Linked DNA regions of Ovis aries. The main gene of each other region encodes a partner of the protein of the gene in region 2 in a complex. Links are inferred from orthologs where the notes say so. Each region holds a gene or a part of one and is shown on either strand. Other genes may lie near its edges.

What was found.
Region 1: the proteins of DNAJB1 (region 2) and NUDC are in contact, whole or in part, in a crystal structure (PDB 7NDX), measured with the Homo sapiens proteins. The link is inferred for Ovis aries from reciprocal best matches to the Homo sapiens genes DNAJB1 and NUDC. Residues at the interface, in NP_006136.1 of Homo sapiens: His166, Lys181, Lys182, Met183, Lys184, Ile185, Ser186, Asp201, Lys202, Ile203, Ile235, Phe237; in NP_006591.1 of Homo sapiens: Pro102, Gln103, Ile104, Lys105, Glu106, Leu107, Ala112, Leu115, Gln116, Ile119.

What each region holds. Positions count from the first base shown.
Region 1 is NC_056055.1:239,999,575-240,009,869, forward strand, and holds the end of NUDC (nuclear migration protein nudC), read right to left. Parts: intron 5,604-10,295; coding exon 5,400-5,603; intron 5,310-5,399; coding exon 5,244-5,309; intron 4,525-5,243; coding exon 4,405-4,524; intron 4,332-4,404; coding exon 4,137-4,331; intron 2,884-4,136; coding exon 2,800-2,883; intron 2,707-2,799; coding exon 2,588-2,706; intron 2,162-2,587; coding exon 2,110-2,161; 3' UTR 1,885-2,109; downstream 1-1,884. UniProt on the Homo sapiens protein: Plays a role in neurogenesis and neuronal migration. Necessary for correct formation of mitotic spindles and chromosome separation during mitosis. Necessary for cytokinesis and cell proliferation.
Region 2 is NC_056058.1:9,584,727-9,597,025, reverse strand, and holds DNAJB1 (dnaJ homolog subfamily B member 1), read right to left. Parts: upstream 6,728-12,299; 5' UTR 6,680-6,727; coding exon 6,469-6,679; intron 5,347-6,468; coding exon 4,766-5,346; intron 4,468-4,765; coding exon 4,237-4,467; 3' UTR 3,058-4,236; downstream 1-3,057. Other genes in the region: small EDRK-rich factor 1-like, read right to left, coding at 8,460-8,670, 8,843-8,907, 9,074-9,157. UniProt on the Homo sapiens protein: Interacts with HSP70 and can stimulate its ATPase activity. Stimulates the association between HSC70 and HIP. Negatively regulates heat shock-induced HSF1 transcriptional activity during the attenuation and recovery phase period of the heat shock response.

The DNA.
Region 1 (10,295 bases), on a different chromosome or scaffold from region 2:
CCCTCCTTAGGCTCTGCTGTTCCATCCAGGTCATGGCCCTCTGTGATTGAAAATAACCACAGCCCAGGAATCCCCTGGCAGCCCAGTAGTTAGAACTCTGCACTTCCACTGCTTCCCTGGTGGCTGAACCTATCTGCAAAGCGGAAGACCAGGGTTCAATCCCTGAGTCAGGAAGATCCCCTGGAGAAGGGAAAGGCAACCCACTCCAGTATTCTTGCCTGGAGAATTCCATGGACAGAGTAGCCTGACGGGCTACAGTCCATGGGGTCACAGAGTCAGACATGACAGAGCAACTTTCACTACAAGGGGCACGGGTTAATTCCTATCAGGGAGCTAAGATTCCACATGCCATGCTGCATAGTGTGGCCACCAAAAAAAATTTTTTTAATGGTGAGGAAAATGACTGTGGGGCACTGGAGCCCAGGGATATCACTGGACAGAGCAGAGTCATGCTACAGCCCCTCCACCTTAGCCTTGGCCCTTATTGTTGTTCAGTGTGTCCGACTGTTTGCCTCCCCGGACTGCAGCACGACAGGCCTCACTGTCCCTCACCATCTCCCAGTTTGCCCAAGTTCATGTCCATTGCATCGGTGACACCATCCATGTTGTCCCCTTCTCCTCCTGCCCTCAATCTTTCCCAGCATCAGGGTCTTTTCCAGTGAGTCAGCTGTTTACATCAGCTGGCCATCGTATTGCAGCTTCAGCATCAGTCCTTCCAGAGAATATTCAGGGTTGATTTCCCTTAAGATTGACTGTTTTGATCTCCTTGCTTTCCAAGGGACCTCTCAAGGGTTGTTTCCAGCACCTAAGTTTGGTTCTCTGCCTTTGTTATGGTGCCCCTCTCACATCCATACATGACTACTGGAAAGAACGTGGCCTTGAGTATACAGACCTTTGTCAGCAAAGCGATGCCTCTGCTCCTTAATACACTGTCTAGGTTTGTCACAGCTTTCCTGCCAAGAAGCAATCTGAGAGCTTAGAAAATGGGCCTCTGGGGCCAAAGTTTTTTTGAGCCCCATTATCTAAGCTCAGCCTTGGGAACCACTACTGGCATTCCCAGAAAAAGGGGTAAGTTTGATAAACAGACAAAGCCAAATACTGCATAGCTGAAGTCTTTAACAAGCTATTCTGAGATGCCAAAAGGACACATACGCTGTGTCCCAGAAATTCAGGAGTCACCCGTGGCTCATAGGGCATAGCACCCTGGGCAAGTGAACCCATTCGTCTTGTTACCATAACCTCTATGGCACTCTGCACTGTGACCTGTACTTCCTGCCAAAGCGGGGCAAGGGTCAGCTCTGGTGGCTGGACTGGGGCAAAAGAGAACACCTCTCCAGCCTCAGTGGCTCACTCCTGAGAAGCCCTAAAATCTGCAAGGGTCCAGGTCAAAGACACACAACAGGCTCCTTTGGGCTTCCCCCTGCCTTCCCAGCCAGATCCCCACCACACACAAAGCCCATCTGAGGCCTAGGCGGTGCCCCTAGGCTTTGCTGCTTGCTCTCTGCCTCTGGGAAGTAGTGTATAGTTTTAGAAACACTTGCTCCAGGACTAAAGGACAGACCCAGTGCAGTGGGAAATTGTCTCAGAGATGAAAATGGAAATCAAGTCAGGCTGGTCTTAAGTGCTGCTGAGTCATGGGCCCCTTGGAGAATCTGACATTGTTTGGTGCCTATAACCAACCCCTTTTGTTCAAAATCATACACAGACTAAAAGCCTTGTCGGGATCCTCTATTTAAGTAATGAGAAACTGAGCCCAGGGAGAGGCAAAGACTTGCCCTAGATCACACAGCAGAGCCTGGGTGAGCAGTCAAGCCCCCAGGTCACAGCAGCAGTCCTAAGAGGCCTGAACCCCAGAGAAAGGCCAGAGGGAAGAGAAGACGTGAGTGGAATTGGGTAAATGGTTTTAATGTGTAACAGCAGGCCAGCTGAGGAGGACAAGACCCCCCCCCAAGGCCCCAGCCCTTCTCCCATGATGGCCTGGGACCTGTGTGTGCCAGCCAGCCCCGTGCCTGCCCTGGCCCTGTGGCCCACCAGTCCCAGGGAGGGTGGGAGAGGAAAGTGGGGAGCCGGGAGCTCAGCCTAGAGAGTTCAGGGGAGCAAACACAGGGGCTAGTTGAATCTGGCCTTGGAAAAGTCCATCTCTGGATGCTGATCCATGAACCTGCAGAGACAAAGCAGGAAGGTGAGACAGGCCATCCGTCTCCCTAAATTTGTCCCTTTCTCTCAGCCTCCAACATGAGGTCTCATCTGTTTACAGCTCTCAGCAACCCGGAGCCATGCCAGACAGGAGTGGGGCCCCCAAGGTCTCCCCAAGGCTGGATGCTGAGGTGCCAACACCGGCACTGCTTTTTCTGTTGGAAACTGTGACCGCCTGTTACCCTTTCCTATCCTGTGGTGGCCTTGCCCTCAAGATGACCTCAGTAAGTGATTAGGGGAGGCAAGCCAAGGCTATAAAGCCATAAACTTGGCTGGCTCATCCTGGAAGGGGCGGGGCAGCTCCTGTGTTCTGCTCAGTAAACACTTGCCACTGTCACCCAGGTCCCAGCCGTAGACACCTCCCCCAAACCCCCATCTCTGCATCGCTCACTTCTTCAGAATCTCCTGTTTCTTCTGCTCATCGGAGGTAGGCAGCCCCATAGACTTCTGTCTCTGGTCGTACATCATCTTCTCCACCATGCTACGGGTCTCACTGTCCAGGTCTGACAGCTGGGGGCAGACAGTGACAGGGTGGGTGAAGGCCTGGGGCCACCCAGGCCCCAAACCTCCCGACCGCAGCTCCTCCAAGCAGCCTGGGCTCACCTTGGAGTTCTCGGGGTTTATCTTCTTAGTATTGATCTCGGGGTCACTGGATACCAAGCGGCTCCACCACTCCATCTTGTTAATCTGAGAGGAAGAGGAGGGCCACCCGGGGACGGGTGGTGGCTCACTCTGGACCCTGGTGACCACCCCCCAGCTCTTCCAGAACCAAACTCTCTCCCAGCCACATCCTGCATCAGGGACTTACAAGGCCTGAACTGGGACCTAGGGGCAGAGAGGCAAGACCTCTGCCCTCCCCGGTGGCTGGGGGAGACAGACACGGAGACAGTCAGCATGATAACGGAAAGAATAAAGTACAGAGGGAGATACTCATCAGGTGGAGGGAGAGGTTCGGATGACACACAGGGCTGGGCCTTAAACGACACGCGTGAACCACGTTAAAAAGCAGGGAAGGACATTCCAGGTGGGAGGAAATGCAAGGGCAAGGGCACAGAGGGGTGAGTGAGAGGCAGCCAAGGGGGTCAGGTAGGCTGGGCCAGGCAGTACATGCCATGGGACTCTTTCCTTGGACCCTGGCGCTTCACAGAGCCCATGTTCACTTACTGGGGTCTGCATCCCAGTTCTCTGAGAGGGGAGAACGCGGGCTTCCAGAGGGGCATAGCTTTCTACGTCTGGTTCACTGTTTTCCCTCCAGCACTTAGAACAGTCTCTGGCATGAGTAGGTGTTCAAGTATTTGCTGAACTGAATGCTTGTATTGATACAAACCTAATGGAGGGACTTCCCTGGTGGGTCCAGTGGTTAAGACTCTGAACTCCCAAGGCAGGGGGCCCAGGTTCGATCCCTAGTCAGGGAACTAGGTCCAATGTGCTGCAACTAAAGATCCCACATGCCACAAGGAAGATCCCGCACATGGCAACTAAGACCCATAATAAAAATTCAGACCCAAAATAAAAACCAGAAAAAAACCTAATGGACCTGGAGAAGGAAATGGCAACCCACCCCCGTATTCTTGCCTGGAAAAGTCCATGGACAGAGGAACCTGGCGGGCTGCAGTCCATGGGGTTACATGACTGAGCATGCATGCATGAGGGTGGAGGGAGATGGGCTGGTACGAATAAGCTGGTAGAACAACAACAAAAACCTAAGGGAAAGGAAAAGGCTTTGGTACTAAAGACAACCCGGATCTTTAACTCCACCCTCTTCTAGAGGCAGAAGTTGGGCAGATCTCTTGGGCTGCCCTTTTTCTGATTCTAAAATGTGGCAGACCTACTATCAAAGTCTTATTGTGGGGATGAAATAAGATATGCCCATCAGGCCCCCAGCAGGGCCCCCAAGTTCAGAAACAGCCAATCAGGACAGAGGGCGGGGCCTTTCGCACCTTCTCCAGATGCACCGTCACCACCTTGCCGTCCTCGATGAGCCACGAGCTCTCCTCCACCTTCACCTCGTTGTAGAGCTCCCCGTCCACGATCGCTGGCTGTCCCTTGAGCCCCACCCGGAGATGCCGCCGCTGGATGTCCACCACCACGTCCTTCCCCTTCAGCCGGAAGTTCACGCGGAAGGGCACGGCCAGCTGCACAGGGCAGGAGCAGTCAGGGGGCGCCCCAGGCCAGCGCCCTCCCTGCCGCCCCAGCCCCCACACTCACATCCAGCTCCGACAGGGTCTGGGTCCAGCGGTAACTGGGCAGGTCCGCCCCATTGCCGAGGTTGGGCTTCAGTTTCCCTTTGTCCTTCTCATCCTCCTCCTCCTCGTCCTCCTCGGCCTCCTGCTCACAATTGGGGAGCTCAGCTACTTCCCTGACAGACCCAGACTGAACCCCACTGGCTGGCACGGCACATACAGCCACAGACAACACAGCAGACCAGGTCCCTGCACAGCCCACGGCCCACTGCGAGGCAGAGGTAAAACCTGTCTGGCTCTCTGCCGGCTCTGCTGAGAGGGGCTCAGATGGGGAGAGTGTGGGGCAGCTGAGGGGAGGCGGCAGTCAGAGACAGACCCCGGGGACCCAGCCAAGGGACCTGGAAGGAAGCCCAGCCCAGAGCAGGTCAGCAGGCGGCCGCCAGCAGAGCTGCTCTAAAGGAAAACCAGCCTGCCAAATGGTCAGCTTCGTTCGGAAGGTGGGGACCCAGCCTCAGACTAGAACTTCTGAAGAGCTAAAGGAATGTCCCCAAGGATTCCGTGGGAGCAGGGGGAGCCCTGAGGAGAACATGCCCTGGGCGTGTCAGAGAAACCCACCACAGACCCGAGCCCACCCTCATGGTGTCCGTGCAGCACTGCCCATCTCTGTCTCTCTGGCTTTCCTGCCAAGGCTTAAATTAAGCCAGTGAGCTTTGGAGTCTTTTTTTTAACCCCCTTTGGTCCAATGTGGGATCCTGGAGTATGAGGAGGATTCCCAAAGCTAAGGGAACGGTGGGGTGGGCTTTCCAGAGAAAGGGAGTGGGTCAAGAGCTCCAGAAGTTCCCAAACCCCTCCAGTCCATCTCACCTGCTTCCCTGGTGAGCCAAGACTGCCATTCTTGAGCTGGGCCTCCTGATTCTCGGCATCCTTTTTCTGTGGCAAACGGGAAAACAGCTGGCAAGAGGGGCCCCACTTCTAGTGTCCATGGGGGTCATGGGGCAGGGGAGGGAAGCCCATTCCTACCTGGTCAATTTCCAGCTGTAGCCTCTCAGCCTCCTCATCAGTCAGTTCCTTGATCTGGGGCCCGGAGGTCTCTGACTTGGCCTCCTTGGCCAACCTGGCTGCCCGCTCCGCCTTCTCCCGCCGCTCAGTCTCCTGCCGAGCTCGCTTCTCCCGCCGGGCCTTCTGTGCCAGCTGGTTGTGGTGGTTGAAGGTCTGTGTGATAAGCTGAGGAAGGAAGAGAAGACTAAGAGGCATCGAGGGAGAAGACACGTTCCAAGACATGAAGCCAGACCCATCTCTGAGTGCCTGGGCAAGGCACTGCACTTAGAACCTCAGTTTCCACATCTTTAAAATGGGATTTAATACACATCTATCTCATTGAGTTGTAATGAGAATACCTGCAAAGTATCTGCTTCAATAAATAGCAATCACTTAAAAAAAAAAAGGCAGTCCAGGGAATAAGAGCCAACACTGAAGTTAGACAACCTGCATTCTAATCCAGCTTTGTCACACACTAGCTATTTTATTTTTGGCAAATTCCTTAACCTATTAATGGTGTTAATGGGCTTCCCTGGTGGCTCAGTGGTTAAACAATCCACCTGCCACTGTAAGGGATGCAGGTTTGATCCCTGGGATGGGAAGATCCCCGGGAAGCTTCAGAGCCCTTATCAGCGAGGGTAAGTCCCTACCTCGCAGGAATGTCGGGCAGACCAAATGATAAGTGCTTTGAAAGTCCCTCATAGCAGAGTGAAGCTGTCAGGAGAACTCCAGCCTCAGCCCCTCTGAGAAGCTTTTCCTCAGCTCTCAGGCCAGAAAGAGCGTTCTGGAGGGAAAAGGTCAGCGTCTTCCTCCCCTCGGCCTGTAAGCTATCAATTTCAAATCCATCCTCTCCCACGACGCCTTCCTAGGATGCTTCTAACCTGCTTTGTGCTAGCTGCCTGCCTCTGTGGCCCAAAAGCGACCCCAATACTGTTACCACAGGGTCTGGCTCTGTGGCCTTGGACAAGGAAACAACTTTGACCTTTCTAAGCCTCAGTTTCATCGGCTGTCACGAAGACTGCACATGACACTTGTCAAGAGATTGGCACAGTCCTAGCCACAAACCAACTGCACATAAACTGCTGGCTGCCCAACACCCCCTGCCTGGTGGAGGCTAACCCAGGGTCAACTGGTGGGGAAGCACCTTCTCTGCTATGAAGATAATGACCGGAAGAATGCTTACACCTCATGTTTTACATCAGAAACTCCTGAAGTGTGGTTCCCTGATCCCTAGAATATGTTGGCATCACCCAGAATTTGTTAGAAATGCTGACTCTCAGGCTCTACTCCAGGCCTACTGAATCAGAAATCCCAGGGGTGTGGCCCAGCAATTTGCACTTTTGACAGGCCCTCCTGGCCAATTCTCATGCATACTTGAGTCACACCTACATCTGAGATCCTGGCCTACTCCTTCTGCCTGCGCGACCCTGAGGTCATCTCTCTGTGCTTCTATCGTATTATTTCTAAAAGCAGTCTTACATAGCTGTTCTTTGCCTAGAATATCCTTGCCTCTACTCTCAGATCACCTCACAAACAGCTTCTTATCCTCCAGGACCAGCTCAAGTGTCTGTTCAATTTCACCTCTTCTCCTTTGCCAGACTCAGGAATTTACCCAACTTAAGAAACCCAACTCTGTGTCAACCCACACACCTGGAGGAGCCCTCACAGGACACGCGCCACATGATCAGTGGTCAACAAACCATCTTTCAAGAATCTCTGAGCCAGAGCTAGAGGGAAATGGATCTGCAAGAGTTGAGGGGAACCACGTGGGGCCAGAGTCACCGAAGTCAGCCATGGGCTCCTAGGCCTAGGGTTCTGCCAAATGCCCTGCGGCCTTTCATTCACTGGGTGCCAATGCTTCCTGTTACCCTCAAACCTCCAACTTCATGCCACATTACAGTAGCTCCACACTCTTCGAGGCTAAAGGGCACCAAAGGCACCCCGAAACCAAATGGGTTAACAAAATGAGGTGTGTCTAGGAAAGAAATGAGCCACCTGAAGGCCACTGTGCTGTCAACAGAAGGGGTTGGTCATGGCCCAATTGCGCCAGCAGAGGCTGTTCCACTCTAATCAGGGAGACCTTGAACTCAGGCCATCTGCTAACCAGTGGCCAAGGGAGGCAGCAGCGGGCCGCCCCCTCTCCCAGCTCCAGTGAACCACGTCCCATTCGTCCTGTTCCTTCCCAGCTCCTGGAGGGCAGATGAGGGCAGAGCTGAACCACCAGGCAGAGTCAAGGCCAGTCACAGCAGCCTCTGACCCCTCCTCCCAGTCTCCTCCCACCGGCTTTACCCGGGCCCAGGCCCAGGCAGAGACCCCCACGAGATTACTCAGGGTGCCAACTGGCAGGCTGTCAGAGTCAAGCTTCTGTCACTGGACATGTCTTTGGGAACCAGAGCCCAGCAGAGTGAGGAATGGGTGAGGAGGGCTGGGAGGCCCCCAGAGTGTTCGGTGGGCATACCTGAACACAGCTTTCCCTGACCTAGCGTGGGTGACAGGAGAGTAAAGAGTGGGTGCCACCAGACTGGCCAAGGAAGACTCTTGAGATATTTAAGCTAAACCCAAAGGCACGAGGTCCTGGACCTGACCATGGAGTGGGGGGAACACGTCTGAGGGAGAAGACCCATTCCTGTTCTAGAACTTCATATAAATGGACTAACTCAGTGTGTGCTCTTGTCTGTCTTCCTTTAGCAGGCTGAATAATATGTATGTATGTGTGTGCTCAGTCATGCCCGACTCTGCAACTCCATGGACTGTAGCCTGCCAGACTCCTCTGTCCTTGGAATTTTCCAGGCAGGAACACTGGAGTGGGTTGCCACTTCCTCCTCCAGGGGATCTTCCTGACCCAGGGATTGAACCTGCATCTCCTGTGTCTCCTGCAGATTCTTTACCTGCTGAGCCATCGGGGAAGCCCAAATATTATACTACATGGATATATGACATTTTGTTGATTCATCTATCAATGAATGCTTGGACTGCTCCCAGTTTTCGGCTCTTTTGAACAGTGCTGCTATGGGTGTGCAAATCTCTCTTCAAGATCCTGCTTCCAGGGCTTCCCTGCTGGCTCAGTGGTAAAGAACCCACCTGCCAAGGCAGGAGACACAGGTTTGACCCCTGATCCAAGAAGATCCCACATGCTGCGTAGCAACTCAGGCCATGCACCACAACCACTGAGCCTGGGCGCCAGAGCCTAGGCACTGCAATTACTGAGCCCACGTGCTGCAACTATTGAAGCCCACTTGTCCTAGAGACCACGCTCCGCAGAAAGAAAAGCCCCCACCACGAGAAGCCCATGCTCCACAACTAGAGAGTAGCCCCCACTCGCCGAACGAGAGGAAAGTCCACACAGTAATTAAGACCCAGCACAGCCAAAAATTAAAAAAAAAAAAGAGATCTTGCCTCCGATTTCAGGGGGTAATGGGATTGCTAGATCACATGGTAGCTCTGTTTTTCAATTTTCTGAGGCACTGCCATACCGTTTCCACAGCAGCTGCACTATTTTAAATTCCCACTGGTAGTGCACACAAGTCCCAGTTTCTCTACAACCTTATCCAACACTTGGTGTTTCTGGGGGTTTCCAACAGAATCCATCCTAGCGAGTGTGAGGTGACAACATTTCACTGTGGTTTTTTTTTGCCTTTCTCTAATGACAAGTGATATTGAGCGTCTTTTACAACAAAAAAGAACTATAATTCACTTTTACCAGCAATGTCTGAAGAGCACCCTTTTTTTTCCCACATCCCTGTAAGCAATTAAAAATATATATTTTTGTCAGTTTGACCAGAAAAAAAGGGCATCTTACTGTTTAGCTCATCTACATTTCCTCGATTACTACTGAATGTAAGCATCTTTTCATATGCTCCTCGTGGAATGGCCCATTTTTCCATTTATCCTTTTTTTGTCAACTTACAAGAGTTCCTGCATATTAAACTGACTCCTAAATTTTATCTGTCCTCTGCATTGCATTTTCCCCAGATCTATTGTTTTTCAAATGACTCTATGTCACTGCGTCTCTTCTGCCACATTTTCTATATCTGAAGAGACAGACAGCTATCTTTTATTCTATAGCTTCCAGGTTTCTATCCTTGCTAGGTCTCTTCCACACAAGGTTATACAGTTTCCTAGCTTTCCTTACTAAGCTCTTCTTGATCTGCCAATTTATTTTTAGATATGAGTACAACAGGCTTCCCAGGTGGCACTAGTTGGCAATACACGAGACGTAAGACACACAGGTTCTATCTCTGAGCCAGGAAGATCCCTTGGAGGAGGGCATGGCAACCCACTCCAGGATTGGTGCCTGGAGAATCCCATGGACAGAGGAGCCTAGCAGACTACAGTCCATAGGGTCGCAAAGAGTCGGACACAACTGAAGTGACTTAGCAAGCATGCACATATGAAAGAAACAGATGGTTTTACACTTTTGGTGCTTTACAAAGAGACAGTTGTAATAGCACAACTTATTAAGTCATCTTTTGCCTATGAACTGAATTACCATACTGGACACATCTTAAAGTTAGACTTTTTCTGGGTTCCCTGTTTCACTAGTCTGTTTGTCTCTTCCTATGTCAATAACATACTGATTTGATCATTATGGCCTTTATGCAAATCCACAATGCCTAGCTTCAAAAGCTATAAAAACTAGTGTTTTTGTGTTTCTCTAAGTTTGAAGCATGAAGGTATTTACAGTCTTCCTATCTTGGCATAAACATGGATATACACTTCTCTGCAGAAATATCAATGTTTCATTACATTATGCTGCTCCTGACCCCTGGACTGGAGTAGAGTATATTATATACAGTATATGCACTGTGAAAGTGTTAGTCACTCAGTGGTGTCTGACTTTTTGCAATCCCATGGACTGTAACCCGCCAGGTTCCTCTG
Region 2 (12,299 bases):
ACATAAGAGGAAACAGTGGCTGAGAGGTTTCTCATTTGTCCAGGGGAATGCAGTGAGCAGAACTTGAACTCAGCACGGTCACCGTTCAGAAGCCAAGTTCTTTGTTTAAATATTTATTTGTCTGCACCTGGTCTTGTCACATGTGGGATCTAGTTCCCTGACCAGGGATGGAACCCAGGCCCCCTCAATTGGGAGTTCAGTCTTAGCCACTAGATTACCAGGATGTCCCAGGAAACCAAGTTCTTAAGGCCATGTTCTTTTGCCTTCCCAGTGCCCTACCTTGCCCAGTTTTCATAATACCTCTATGAAGTCTGTAACTTCAGTAGCCGTTTTCAAAGGTGACCACTGAGACTCAGAGAAGCGAAGTCACTTGCCCAAGAACACACACAGCAGCTGACTGACAGAGCTGGGACTCAAACCCACTCTGCTCAGTCCTAGGGCCTGATGTTCCACTGCTGGTGTCAAGTGAGCAGGTTGTGACCAAACAGCATGGGAGTGAGCCTGCTTTTTCCTTTTGGCTGCATTGCATGGCTTGTGGCATTTTAGTTCTGAACAGGTATTGAACCCAGGTCCTTGGCAGTGCGACCACAGAGCCCAAACCACTGGGCCAGCAGAGAATTCCTGGAGTGAGCCTTCTCAAGTGAGATGAAGGCCAGGGTGGAGTTGTGGGTCTCAGGGGCTTGCCTGGGGATTTGGTTCCTGGAGCTTAGCCAAGAGTACAGACCCAAAAGACCGTGGACACGACACACCTCAGAGGTTTCTTTGGAGTGGGCTGAGGAACATTTTCCCATTAGGGTACAGTAACTGACACACAGCACTTGTTCTGTGTCAGGCTCTGTTGTGTGCTTCTATGTATCTATACCTGAAAATCCTCACAACCGTAGAAGTGTGATTTTTGTGCTTCTTCTACAGTTGAAAAAACTGAGGCACAGAGAAGTCGTGTCACTTGCTCAAGGTCCCACAGCTACAAAGTGGTTGAGTTGCGATTCAAACCTGGAAGCAGGAGCAATGATAGAGGAGAGATAGGAGCCTCCAAACGTGAAACTAGATCTTCACACCCACCTGCACGTGTCTGGTAGAATCAACATATGGAAAAACAGAAGACAAGCTATTTGCATATGTGAGAGGGAAAAAAAGGTGGGGGGGATGGGGGGGGCACAGAGCGTACAGTATGTACCATTTGTGTAAAAAAAGAACAATGTCTTCATGCAACATTACAGAAGGAAAGGCACAGGAGAAAACTGGGAAAATTTCTCTGGCAGTGGACCTGAAAGCAGCATGGGAAGAATTTTTAACTCTATATGCCCTTACAAATTCAGTACTGTGATTACATAGCCAAAAATCAAAACTGAAAATTTACAAATTATGTTTATGCTTATATAAGCAGATTGACTTTAGGAGGCTGCACAAAATTAAAATTTCTAATGCCATGGCTTGTCTACAGTGGTCCTGAGGAAGGAGGGAACTTGACTACTCACCACAGGCCGAATGTGAATTTTTGTTTTCTACTGTTTGAATCAGGGAAAAATGCAGTACTCCTGGTGTGATGGATAAAGATACTGTGCTTAGTCACTCAGTCGTGTCCAGCTCTTTGCGACCCCACGAGGTGGGTGCAAAACAGAGGCAGCTCCCCTCACACTGTTGTGGAAGGAGCAAACTCCAAAATGTGGCCAGGATAGACATCGTGGGAGAATAAATTCTTTACAGGGAAGCTAAGGGAGCAAGGGGAGAAGCCAGCTTGCAGACAAACCGAACACCTGACACACACGTGCAGCCAGGTCCAGTGTGGGCCAAGGCTGTGCATCCGAGGGACAGGCCTGTTTACTAGGGTCCTTGTCCTTTTCCTGAAGAGTGGCACTGTCCCATCCACTACCACAGGAAGGTTATTTCTCCAAGTTACCAGGATTGCGTGTGACACACTGAAGCTTTGTGCACATCTGTGCCCACAGCCCTTGGATAAGAACCCTATACAGACCAGCTATGTTAATGAGGAAGGCTGGGGCAGGTGGATGGCAGCGCAAGGGGGTCTGTGACCCCAGTTGAGGCCAGGGCCAATTCTGCAATAAATATCATTCCTCATCCTGGAAGTGGTGATAGGGTCCCTCTTGGCTCTAATACTCCAGGGGTCACCTCCGAATGAGGATGGCCTCTCTGGGCTCGAAGCAGCTACTCCTCTAAGAGACCCATGGCTTAGGTTTGGGTGGAAAGCCCTCTAAGATCTGTGCTGTCCAATAATCACTGCTAGCCACCAGGGGCGGGTGCTGAGCACTTGAAACGTACCTGTAGCTACCAAGCAACTTTGTTCTGTTGAATCTTAAAGAATTTGTTTTAAAAAGAACATTTCCATCGCTGAAGAAGGTTCTCTGGGACAGCACTACCCTTAGATTGCTTCCAGTGGTTAAACTGTTTCAGTGGGAAGGGAAAGCCCTCTAAGGTTATGTTAAATATGGTTATTTAAGTTTCTACACCAGATATCTTGTAGCAAAATAGCAATGCAGTTTTTGGCCTGTGTAATTACTTACCTTATAATAAAACTAGTTCCTTAAAAAAAGTTACAAAGTAAAAGCAGTTTCAGTGGCCTGCAAATAGAGGGAGGGCAGGAAATAGGTCCTAACCAGGGTGGGGTGGCCCTGGGTTGGAATCCTAATCTGGTTTGGCCAGGGCCTGCCTGACACCAGCTTGTTCTAGCAAGAAAGCAGGGGTTGGGGGGGGGGGGGGGGGGGTGGGTGGAGATTAAGAGAGTAGGGCACACACTTCTTGGCCCCAGCAACCAGATCTTGCAAGACTGGGAAAGGATCTGTTTAACTTTGGCCCCAACCTTCACCAAAAAACAAGCTCTGAATCCACTGGGCTCTTCTGATGCCCAGATCCAGTCCGGCGGCTTTCTCTTGTTCACCCCATATTTAGCTCAGGAGGGCAACTTCTCTCCCTTGCAGAGGACTCCTACCTCCTGCCTGCCCCTCCCTCCCACCCACCCTGGCTGCCTCTGGAGGGCTGCCCCGACCCCACCCCATCCCATCAGCAGAACCCTTAAACAGAGTCGCAGGACCGCTCCCCTGAGGTTTAGCATCAGTCTTTAATGCTGTCACGCTGCACATTGACAAGTCACACGCTTTGGTCTTGTGTTGGCAGTGGCAACTTACAATGAGTCTAAAAGTCTGAGCACCAGACTGACCTGCAAGGAACAAACACTTGTTCCAACACCCCCCCGCCCCCCACCCCCACCAGGTTCTTTCTCAGTTCCATCATGGCCCTTTACAGAGAGCAGCAGCTGCTGTGGACCGGTTTCGTCTGACTGCACACCAACTTTACACAGAATTATAAAAACATATTTACAGGCGTTCCACAGTGCTCCTGTAATCAGAAGCAAAGACCCTTTTATCAAAAGGGATTATAGCTAGGGCTGTGCAAAATTCAAAAGGATCAGATCCTTTTGAGAGAGTCCAGAGTCCATTGAACAAAAAAAATGACCTGGGTCACGGGGAAATCCCAGGTGTGCCAATAGATTGCCTCACAGCAAAGGAAGGTGAAGATCTCTGTCTGGGAGCCTGGGGTCAAGACTCCAGCCAAGGTCCCCCACCCTTGAGGGAGAGGCAGCTGCACAAGTTACTCACTCAGTGAAGGCCGGCTCCCTTGGTCCTGCTGGAACAAGGGAGGTATTGCTTGTGGGAGCTGGCCAGGCAGTTCAACAACCAGAGTTGAGATTCTCAATTTGAGATGGCAAAAGAGAAGACGGGGTTTCTTAGGGGAAGGGCAAGATGGGGGAGACAAATACAGAATAAAACACGAACTGATCACACAATAGAAACTCAGGAGTGTACAGGGTCTGGTACCCATAAACGCAGGTCCACACCCCAGGATGTCTGCAAGCGGAGGGACTACAATAGGGGGATCAAGTCCAGCTGTGGGTCCGCGGTCTGCCTCTCCCCCTGGGCAGGGCCTGGAGAGGGAGGAGGGGGGTGCTGCCCACCCAGGAGGGCTGCAAGGACCCAGTGGGGCAGACTGCACTGCCTTTGCCTGCTGTCCCCACCACCTGCCGCCCTACCGCTCGAAAAACAACTTTAGTCTAGTGCACGACTTTGAAAGATTGTAATATATTCTCTGGAAAACATTCAGCAGTATGAAAGCCCTCCCTGGGCCCTCCCGCCCTCTCACGGGTCCACAGCTGGTGGAACGGTCAGGAAATCCTTGAGCTCTGGAAAGGTCCCTGGTCAGTCCTTGGGGAACACGGATTGACTATATCGGAAGAACCTGCTCAAGAACGGTTCTTGACGTCTGGGGAATCCTTTCAGGGAAGATCACTTCAAACTCAATAATGAGGTCCCCGCGTTTCTCGGGCGTTTTCGGGAGAGGGAGGCCTTCTCCGGGAACTTTTCGCCGCATGCCAGGCCTGATGACATCTTTGAACACAACGGGTATGGTCCTGCCGTCCAGAGTGGGGACATTCACTGTACAGCCACACAGAGCCTTGGAAAGCAAAGGGACAGCATTAGAAAGAGTAGCTTAAGGAGCTCACATCTTGCCCAGAGGCTGCTGACTGGAGGGTAAGCACCATCAGACCTCTGCAGCTAAGACCCTGCCTTAAGATCTACCCACGTCACCAGCACAGAAGCTCTGGAAAAACAGAGCCCTGGACAGTCTTGTCGCCATTGCACTGTCCAAGCCTGGCCGCACCAAGTGCCCAGAAACATCTGTCAAGCAAACACTGAACAGCATCACAAAGCAGCTTCTCTCTCCCCAGATGCTGCCCTGCCTAGTGCCTTACCTCCCGAAGGCTGATCCTGGCTGGATAAATGACATCAGAGCCATCTCTCTTAAAGATATTGTGTGGCTTGTCCTTTAAAACAAAGACAATATCGGCTGGAATGTTGTTTGAAGTCTGGTCTCCTTCCTTGGGGAAGGTGATTTTGGTCCCTTCTTTCCACCCCCGCTTCACTTCGATGGTCAAGATTTTGTCTTCATTGCGAATGCTCTTTCCGTCGGGGTTCAGCCGCTTATGAGAGATTTTCATTTTCTTGGTACAGCCGCTGTAGATCTCTTCAAGTGAGACCCTAAGGTCATGGGTGACGGGGGGATCTTGTTTCTTTCGGGTGGGCTCTTGGGCAGGGCGGGAGCGGCCAAAGTTCATGTTGGTGAAGCCACCCATGCCCATGGGGAAGCCAGAGAACGGGTCATCGATGTCCATGCCTTCCTCCCCGTTGCGCTGCCCAAAAAAGTTGTCAAAGGGATTTCGGCCACCGAAGAACTCAGCAAACATGGCATGAGGGTCTCCATGGAATGTGTAACTGAAGGAGGTACCGTTAGTACCACCGCTGCTCCCGCCGCTGGGACCACTGCCCTTCAGGCCTGAAACGCCAAAGCAGAAGAAATCAGATGGCGAGCTAGGAACTTAACTCTCCAGGAACTTTCCTTCAAGGAAAAAAGCTTAGGAGCCATTGGGGGAGGAATTTTTTTTAGCCTGTCAGGGAAGAACAAGGAAGAACTCCAAGCTTTTACCTCCCACTTGCAGCAGCAAAACAGAACCCCCACCCACTTATGGCAGTTAGTCCACTGTGGCAAGACAATGGTGAAGTGTTCAAGGTTTCAGATGGGCATCTCTTGGGGCCACCCAGGTCCTCACATCTGAGTAACTCATTTCCCTTGCACTGTTACAATGAGTACGGAAAACTAAGAGATCCAATGAAAAATGCTTACCCCGGATCAGTTTTCACTAAATGCTTACTCTTAAATTCCCTACAGCTAGAGACGTGTGGAGAGTAGTAAAAGGAACGTGAAACTGCAAATGCAGACTTTCAAATTCTCACACCCTGGCACTAACTGCCCCCATTCTCATGTAATTAGCCACTTCTTCCTGAGGACCAAGCCCAGCAACCTGCCTGAGTCATCAATGGGAGACGGGACAAGAAAGCTTTCTTTTTCCCTGAAGAGGGCTGGCCCCACTGTTCCCTGCACCTTGACGGCCGACTAGGTAAGCACTTTACAAGGATTACCTCACTCCACCCTCGGAGGCGCGGGAGGTCGCTCGGCGCCAATTGGCACCTCATTTGCAGGCTCACTACTCGCAGCCTGTGCCCAGGGCTCAGCCAGAGGTCCTGCCCTGAACCCCGGGGTGGCAGAGCCTCCCACCTCGCACAGGTGAGCCCAGGCCCGCAGCGCCAGCAGCCAAGCTAGGTCTCCGAACCCTCTCTTTCTGCACCCGCACCCCCGGACGTGGGTGGAGGCGAGAGCCCAGGGAGGGGCAGCCCCAGACATACTAGAAGCTTCTGAACAAGCAGCGCGGCCAGGGCCCCTCCTCCCATCGGGCGGCCGCCAATCCGAGGGCGGAGGCCCTTGTGGCCAGAGGGCCGGGGCTGCTTCAACCCCTGCGGCCGAGCACCCCCCGGAGATGCTGCAGCGAGGCCACCCTGCCTCGGTTTCTCCGCCTGTCAAACGGCGAGGGCGCGCCCCCGGCTGCGCGCGCGCACGCACCTTCCTCCCCGTAGCGGTCGAAGATCTCGCGCTTGCGCGGGTCGCTGAGCACGTCGTAGGCCTCGGCGATCTCCTTGAACTTCTCCTCAGCGCCGGGCTCCTTGTTCTTGTCCGGGTGGTAACGCAGCGCCTGACGGCGGTAGGCCCTCTTGATCTCCTCGTCCGACGCACCGCGGGCCAGGCCCAGCGTCTGGTAATAGTCCTTTCCCATTGCCCCCGCCTGCGGCCCGCCACCCAGCTGTCGCCGTCCCCCGGCTCCGCCACCGCCCCGTCCCGGACTCTATATACCCGTCCGGCGGAAGCTTCCAGAGCCCGCCAGCCCCCTCCAGAACCTTCCGCCCCGCCCCTCACGCGGCTTTGGCCAATCCCCGTCGTCCAGGCTGCGACGCGCGACATCCGGGGCGGGGCCGCGCCGCCAACGGCCTCCTGCGCGCGGCCCTGCCCCATCCTGGGCAACGCTTCTCAGCGGCGCGCGCCCCGGGCGGCGGAGGCCCCGCCCACCCTCCGCGGGCACCAATAGCGACCCAGGTTTTATTGCTTCCTGCAGCCAGGCAGGCCTTGCGGCCCGCCTCCTGTCTGGGTCAATAGGTTACGACGCGCTACTGTAGGAAGGGGCGGATCTGGGGAAGACACCACCCCGTCACAGTTCAGTTCAGCCTCTCATTCGTGTCCCACTCTGTGTGACCTCACTGCAGCACGCCAGCTTTCCCTGTCCATCACCAACTCCCAAAGCTTGCTCTAACTCACGTCCCAACGAGTGGTTGATGCCATCCAACCATCTCATTCTCCGTTGTCCCCATCTCCTCCTGCCTTCAATCTTTCCCAGCATCAGGGTCTTTTCCAGTGGTCAGTTCTTCGCATCAGGTGGCCAAAGTATTGGAGCTTGAGCTTCAGTATCAGTCCTTCCGGTGAATATTCAGGACTGATTTTTTTTAGGATTGACTGGTTTGATCTTGCAGTCCAAGGGAGTCTCGAGTTTTCTCCAACACCACAGTTCAAAAGCATCAGTTCTTCTGTGCTCAACTTTATGGTCCAACTCTCACATCCATACATGACTATTGGAAAAACCATAGTTTTGAATAGATGGACCTTTGTTGGCAAAGTAATGTGTCTGCTTTTTAATGTGCTGTCTAGGTTGGTCATAGCTTTTTTTCCAAGGAGCAAGCGTCTTTTAATTTCATGGCTGCCGTCACCATTTGTAGTGATCTTTAGAGACCAAGAAAATAAAGTCTCTCACTGTTTCCATTGTTTCCCCATCTATTAGCCCCTTCACTAGCAGATGCAAATATGCCCGCCCCTATCTCACAGGGCCAGGAATGAGTTCCTGCCAGGTGTCTCTGGGCGGTGTGAGTTGCCTAATTTTCCCCAGCCCGACACCCGCTTCCTTCTGGAAATAAAAATAGTCACCCGCCCTGTTCTACCAGCTGTGTGTGCATGCTCAGTCATATCCAACTCTTTGCGAGCAGAATGCAGGTGGGAGCTCCAGTACTATCTGCGTCCTCAATCATAAAGGACCCTGCAAAGCGAGGTGAGCACCGGGAGCCAAAGTTCACCTCCCTGCAGACGTCTTCTCAGTCCAGCCCTTCAAGCCTCTCATTTTACCGTTTTCTCAAGGACACCCACCACTGAAATCTGAAATTGTTCCTTGGTTTTCATGTTAAATGTCTCCTCCGCTCCTAGCCTGGAATCACCGTAAAGTCAGGGACTGGGTCCTGTCAGTGCTGAGTCTCCAGTGCCAGGAAGTGTCTGGAACCAAAGCTTCGTAAATATTCCTGGCTGTTTTTATTTTTATTTATTTATTTTCATATGCATGGTTAGTGTTTTATTCTTTGAAATGGTTCTGAAACATCACGCTAAGTCAGGTTGAAAGGAAAAGTTTAAAATAGTTTTGTACGGATATAACATGTACTGACTGTTCACTCTACAAAATCTTGATCATAGAGCTTATGATACACTTAGTTTGCAGCAGCACCCTGGTTTCCAGATAGTCATTATTTCTCTCTTGTTTGCATAGACTTCTTATCATTGGCTGCCTTCTGCTTTTGTTGCATGATCTCAGAGTCCCGCTGCTTCCTCTGAGAGGTAGTCAGGCTATCCTCTTTTCTTTTTCCTTTATTAGTTTCCTGGGATTTCTTCATGTTTTTCTGGCAAGGAAGTTCTCGTTGATTTCCACCTGCCCGACCTTTCAGGCGGGGCCAGACTCAATTGCCCCTCTCCCTCTGCGGACTAAAAAGTCCTGGCGGTTTTTAATGCATCTGGTTCTTTACCCCCACCCCACTGCCTTCATGATGTGGGGGAGACATGGGCATGCAATACACCTCTCAGGGCCTCAATATCTTCATCTCTGGGCAACATCATCCATTTTGGCTCCTACAGTCTGGGGTGTCTGTGGTCAAGGACAGGGCTGACGCGGAAAGGAGGCTCAGAAAGAGGCACCACCTGAAAAGGGAAGAGGGGAGTAGGTGGAGGTGGCCTACAGAGGGGAAAGGTTCTTGGAAGAACTGCTTGGGAAGTCTGGGTGGTGTGACACTGGTGCTGGAGCCAGATAGTCACGTTTCATTCTTGGTTCCAGCACTTTCTGGCTGTGTGATCTTGGGCTGGTTACTGAGCCTTCCAGGGCCTTTAGCTTCCTCATCTGTACAATGAGGGTAGTAGTTGTACCAGCCTTATAGGGCTTTGAAGTTGACATTGAGTCAACATTTGTCAAGTGCCTGGGACAGACCTAGCTTAGAGGAAGTTCTGTAAAAGGGGTGACTAACTGGTTGAATGGTGGGCTGCTGAGGATCCCCCTTCCTGGCAGGACCACAGCAAAACATTTCTGGTAACCACTGCCCTTGTGGAAGCTGGAACTCTTGAGAAAGACGCCATGGCCTTACGGCCATCCCTGGCCACTCCCTGACCCCAGTGTAACTCTGTCAGTAAGGGATTCCCTGGTAGCTCAGTTGGTAAAGAATCTGCCTGCAGTGCAGGAGAACTGGGTTCGATCCCTGGGTCAGGAAAATCTCCTGGAGAAGGGAATGGCAACCCACTCCAGTACTCTTGCTTGGAAAATCCTATGGACAGAGGATCCTGGTGGGCTACAGTCCATGGGGTCGAAAACAGTCAGACAGAACTTAGCGATTAAACCACCACCATCAAAGGACTCTGGACTAAGCCACACACACCAGCCAACATGGGAGGATGAGTCTAGGCTGGATACCCAAGGGCACAGCACTGTAGGGGTCCTGAACCAATCATGGAGGAGAGGGAGTCCGATTTTTTTTTATAAAGTTACATAAAGAGATAGTGGGAGAGTCATCATGGGGGGAAAAACCCAGAGCTTCTGGATTTCTTCACACATATAAATTTAAGGGTTACAGATGTGGGGACTTCCTTGGCAGTCCAGTGGTTAGGATTCTGCTTCTAATGCAGGGTGAATGGGTTCAGTACTTGGTCAGGGAACTAAGATCCCACATGCTGTGTGGCCGAAAATTAAAAAAAAACAAGGGAGTTACAGATGTGGGGACTTTTCTGGCGGTCCAGTGGTTAAGGCTCCCTGCTTCCACTGCAGGGGGTGTGGGTTTGATCCCTAGTCGGGGAACTAAGATCCCACATGCCACTTATAAACCCACCCTAAAAAAAATGTTAACAGATGTGGAGGCCTCTAAAGGTCTTCACATAGCTCTGGTAGACCAGCAACATCGTGCAAGGGGTGTCCTTGTGTTTGGGGGCAACCTTAGGGCTGGGAAATCTCCCTTCCTTGAGTAAGCCTGGGTCATATTCAGGAGGTTTTAACTGTTTAAGCTCCGCCCTCCCCACCCCCCCAAAAAAGAAGAGCCGTAACTCAACTGCTCTTATTATGTTCTTTGACCTGGACACATACTCACAGGGCACTGTTTTTTTTTTTGTTTCCCAGCCAGGCTGAGTGGCTTGTGGAATCTTAGTTCCCCAACCAGGGATTGAGCCTGCACCCTGGGCAATGAAAGTGCAGAGTCCTCGCCACTGGACTTCCAGGGAATTCCCTCACCAGGTACGTTGGAATGTTACTAGAAGAGTGATTTTCACAGAAACTTAGCAGAGGTTTGAGCTATCAACTCAGAGAACAGGAGACAATGTGATGGGTAGTTATATGCATAGACTTGGCTAGGCAGTAGTACCCAGTTATTCAGCTAAACACTAATCTAAGTGCTGCTGTGAAGGTGTTTTGCAGATGTGGTTAGGTTAACATCTATAATCAGTTGGCTTTAAGTACAGGAGATGACCCTTGATTTTGTGGGTAGACCTCATTCAGTCACTTGAAAGGCTTTAAAAGCAAACACTGAAAGACCTTAAAAGCAAATATGGAGGTTTGCCTGAGAATGAAGCATTAGTTCCTGGCCAAGACCTGCTGGTCTGCCCTACAGATTTCACACTTGCCTTGCCAGCCCTCACAATTGTGAGAGCCAATGCCTGAAACAAGTCTCTTAATACACAGACACACTCACAAACACATATATCCTATTGCTTCCGTTTCATTAGTAGAACTAAGAACTAAGAATATAAGAACTAAGCAGGTCAGTCTGGAGTCAGTCAGCCTTAGTTGAGAACCTGGACCTGCTGTTTGCTTATTTACTGCCCATGTGATCTTGCCCAACTTATTCTCTGTAATTGCTAAGTATGTCCTCCATAAAACTGGGATAAGAGTAGATCTTACCTCCCAGGGTTGCTATGTGAATTTGAGAGGGCCAGGCAATAAACCTTATAATAATAGCTAACACTGACAAGGTCCTACTCTGTGTCAAATCGGTTCCAAACACTCAATGTGTATGAACTCATTTCATCCTGATAATAATCCTGTGAAGGGCTTCCCTGGTAGTCCAGTGGTTAAGAATCTGCTTGCCAGTGCAGGGAATATGGGTTCCATCCCTGGTCCGGGAAGATCTCACGTGCCGTGGGGCAACTAAGCCCGAGAGCCGTAACTACTGAAGCCTTGTGCCTAAAGCCCATGCTCTGCAACAAGAGAAGCCACCACAATGCGAAGCCAAAGCTCTGCAACTAGAGACAGCCCGAGTGGAGCAATGAAGACCCAGCACCGCCAAAAAGAACTTCATTAAAAAAGATAATCCTATGAGGTTGGATTACCTCATTACCTCTGTTTTACAGGTAGGGAAGCCAAGGCTCTGAGAGGTTACATGACTTGCCTAAGGTCACCTAGTGAATAAAATGCTGAGGTGTAAACTGTTTAGCATATTGAGTGTTTATGGTAAGCACTCAGCTTGTATAAGATGTGATTCAGATGATGATAAAGCCTTACTTTTTTTTTAAAAAAAAAAAGCATCACCACTCTTTTCAACTCTTCTTCATCAAAAAGAACTTCAAAAGCATTACAGTCATATAAGCTAACAATCTGCCCTGGTGGAATGCCCATGTGAAATAAAAACCTATGTTCACATAAAAACCAGTGAGCAAATACTTACCAAGGCTTTATTTGTCATTACCAACAGCCATTTAAACCTGAATGTCTTTCCGTGGGTGAAATGTAAACAAACTGAATACTATTCAGTCATAAAAAAGGATTGAGCTATTGACACAGGAAGCAATGCAGAGGAACCTCAAATGCATTATGTTAAGAAGCCAGTTTCAATCGTCTGTGCACTGTGTGACTCCATTTTAAGGAGCTTCTGGGAAAGGTAAAAGTATTGATGCAGAAACTGGATCAGTGGTTGCCAGGGGCTGGGATCTTTGACAAAGGGAGACGGGAATTTGGGGAGATGATGGAAATGTTCCATATCTTGACTGCGATGGTGGTTGCATGACTATTTATTCAGAACTATACAGCAGAAAAGGTGATTTTTACTGAATGTAAACTATAT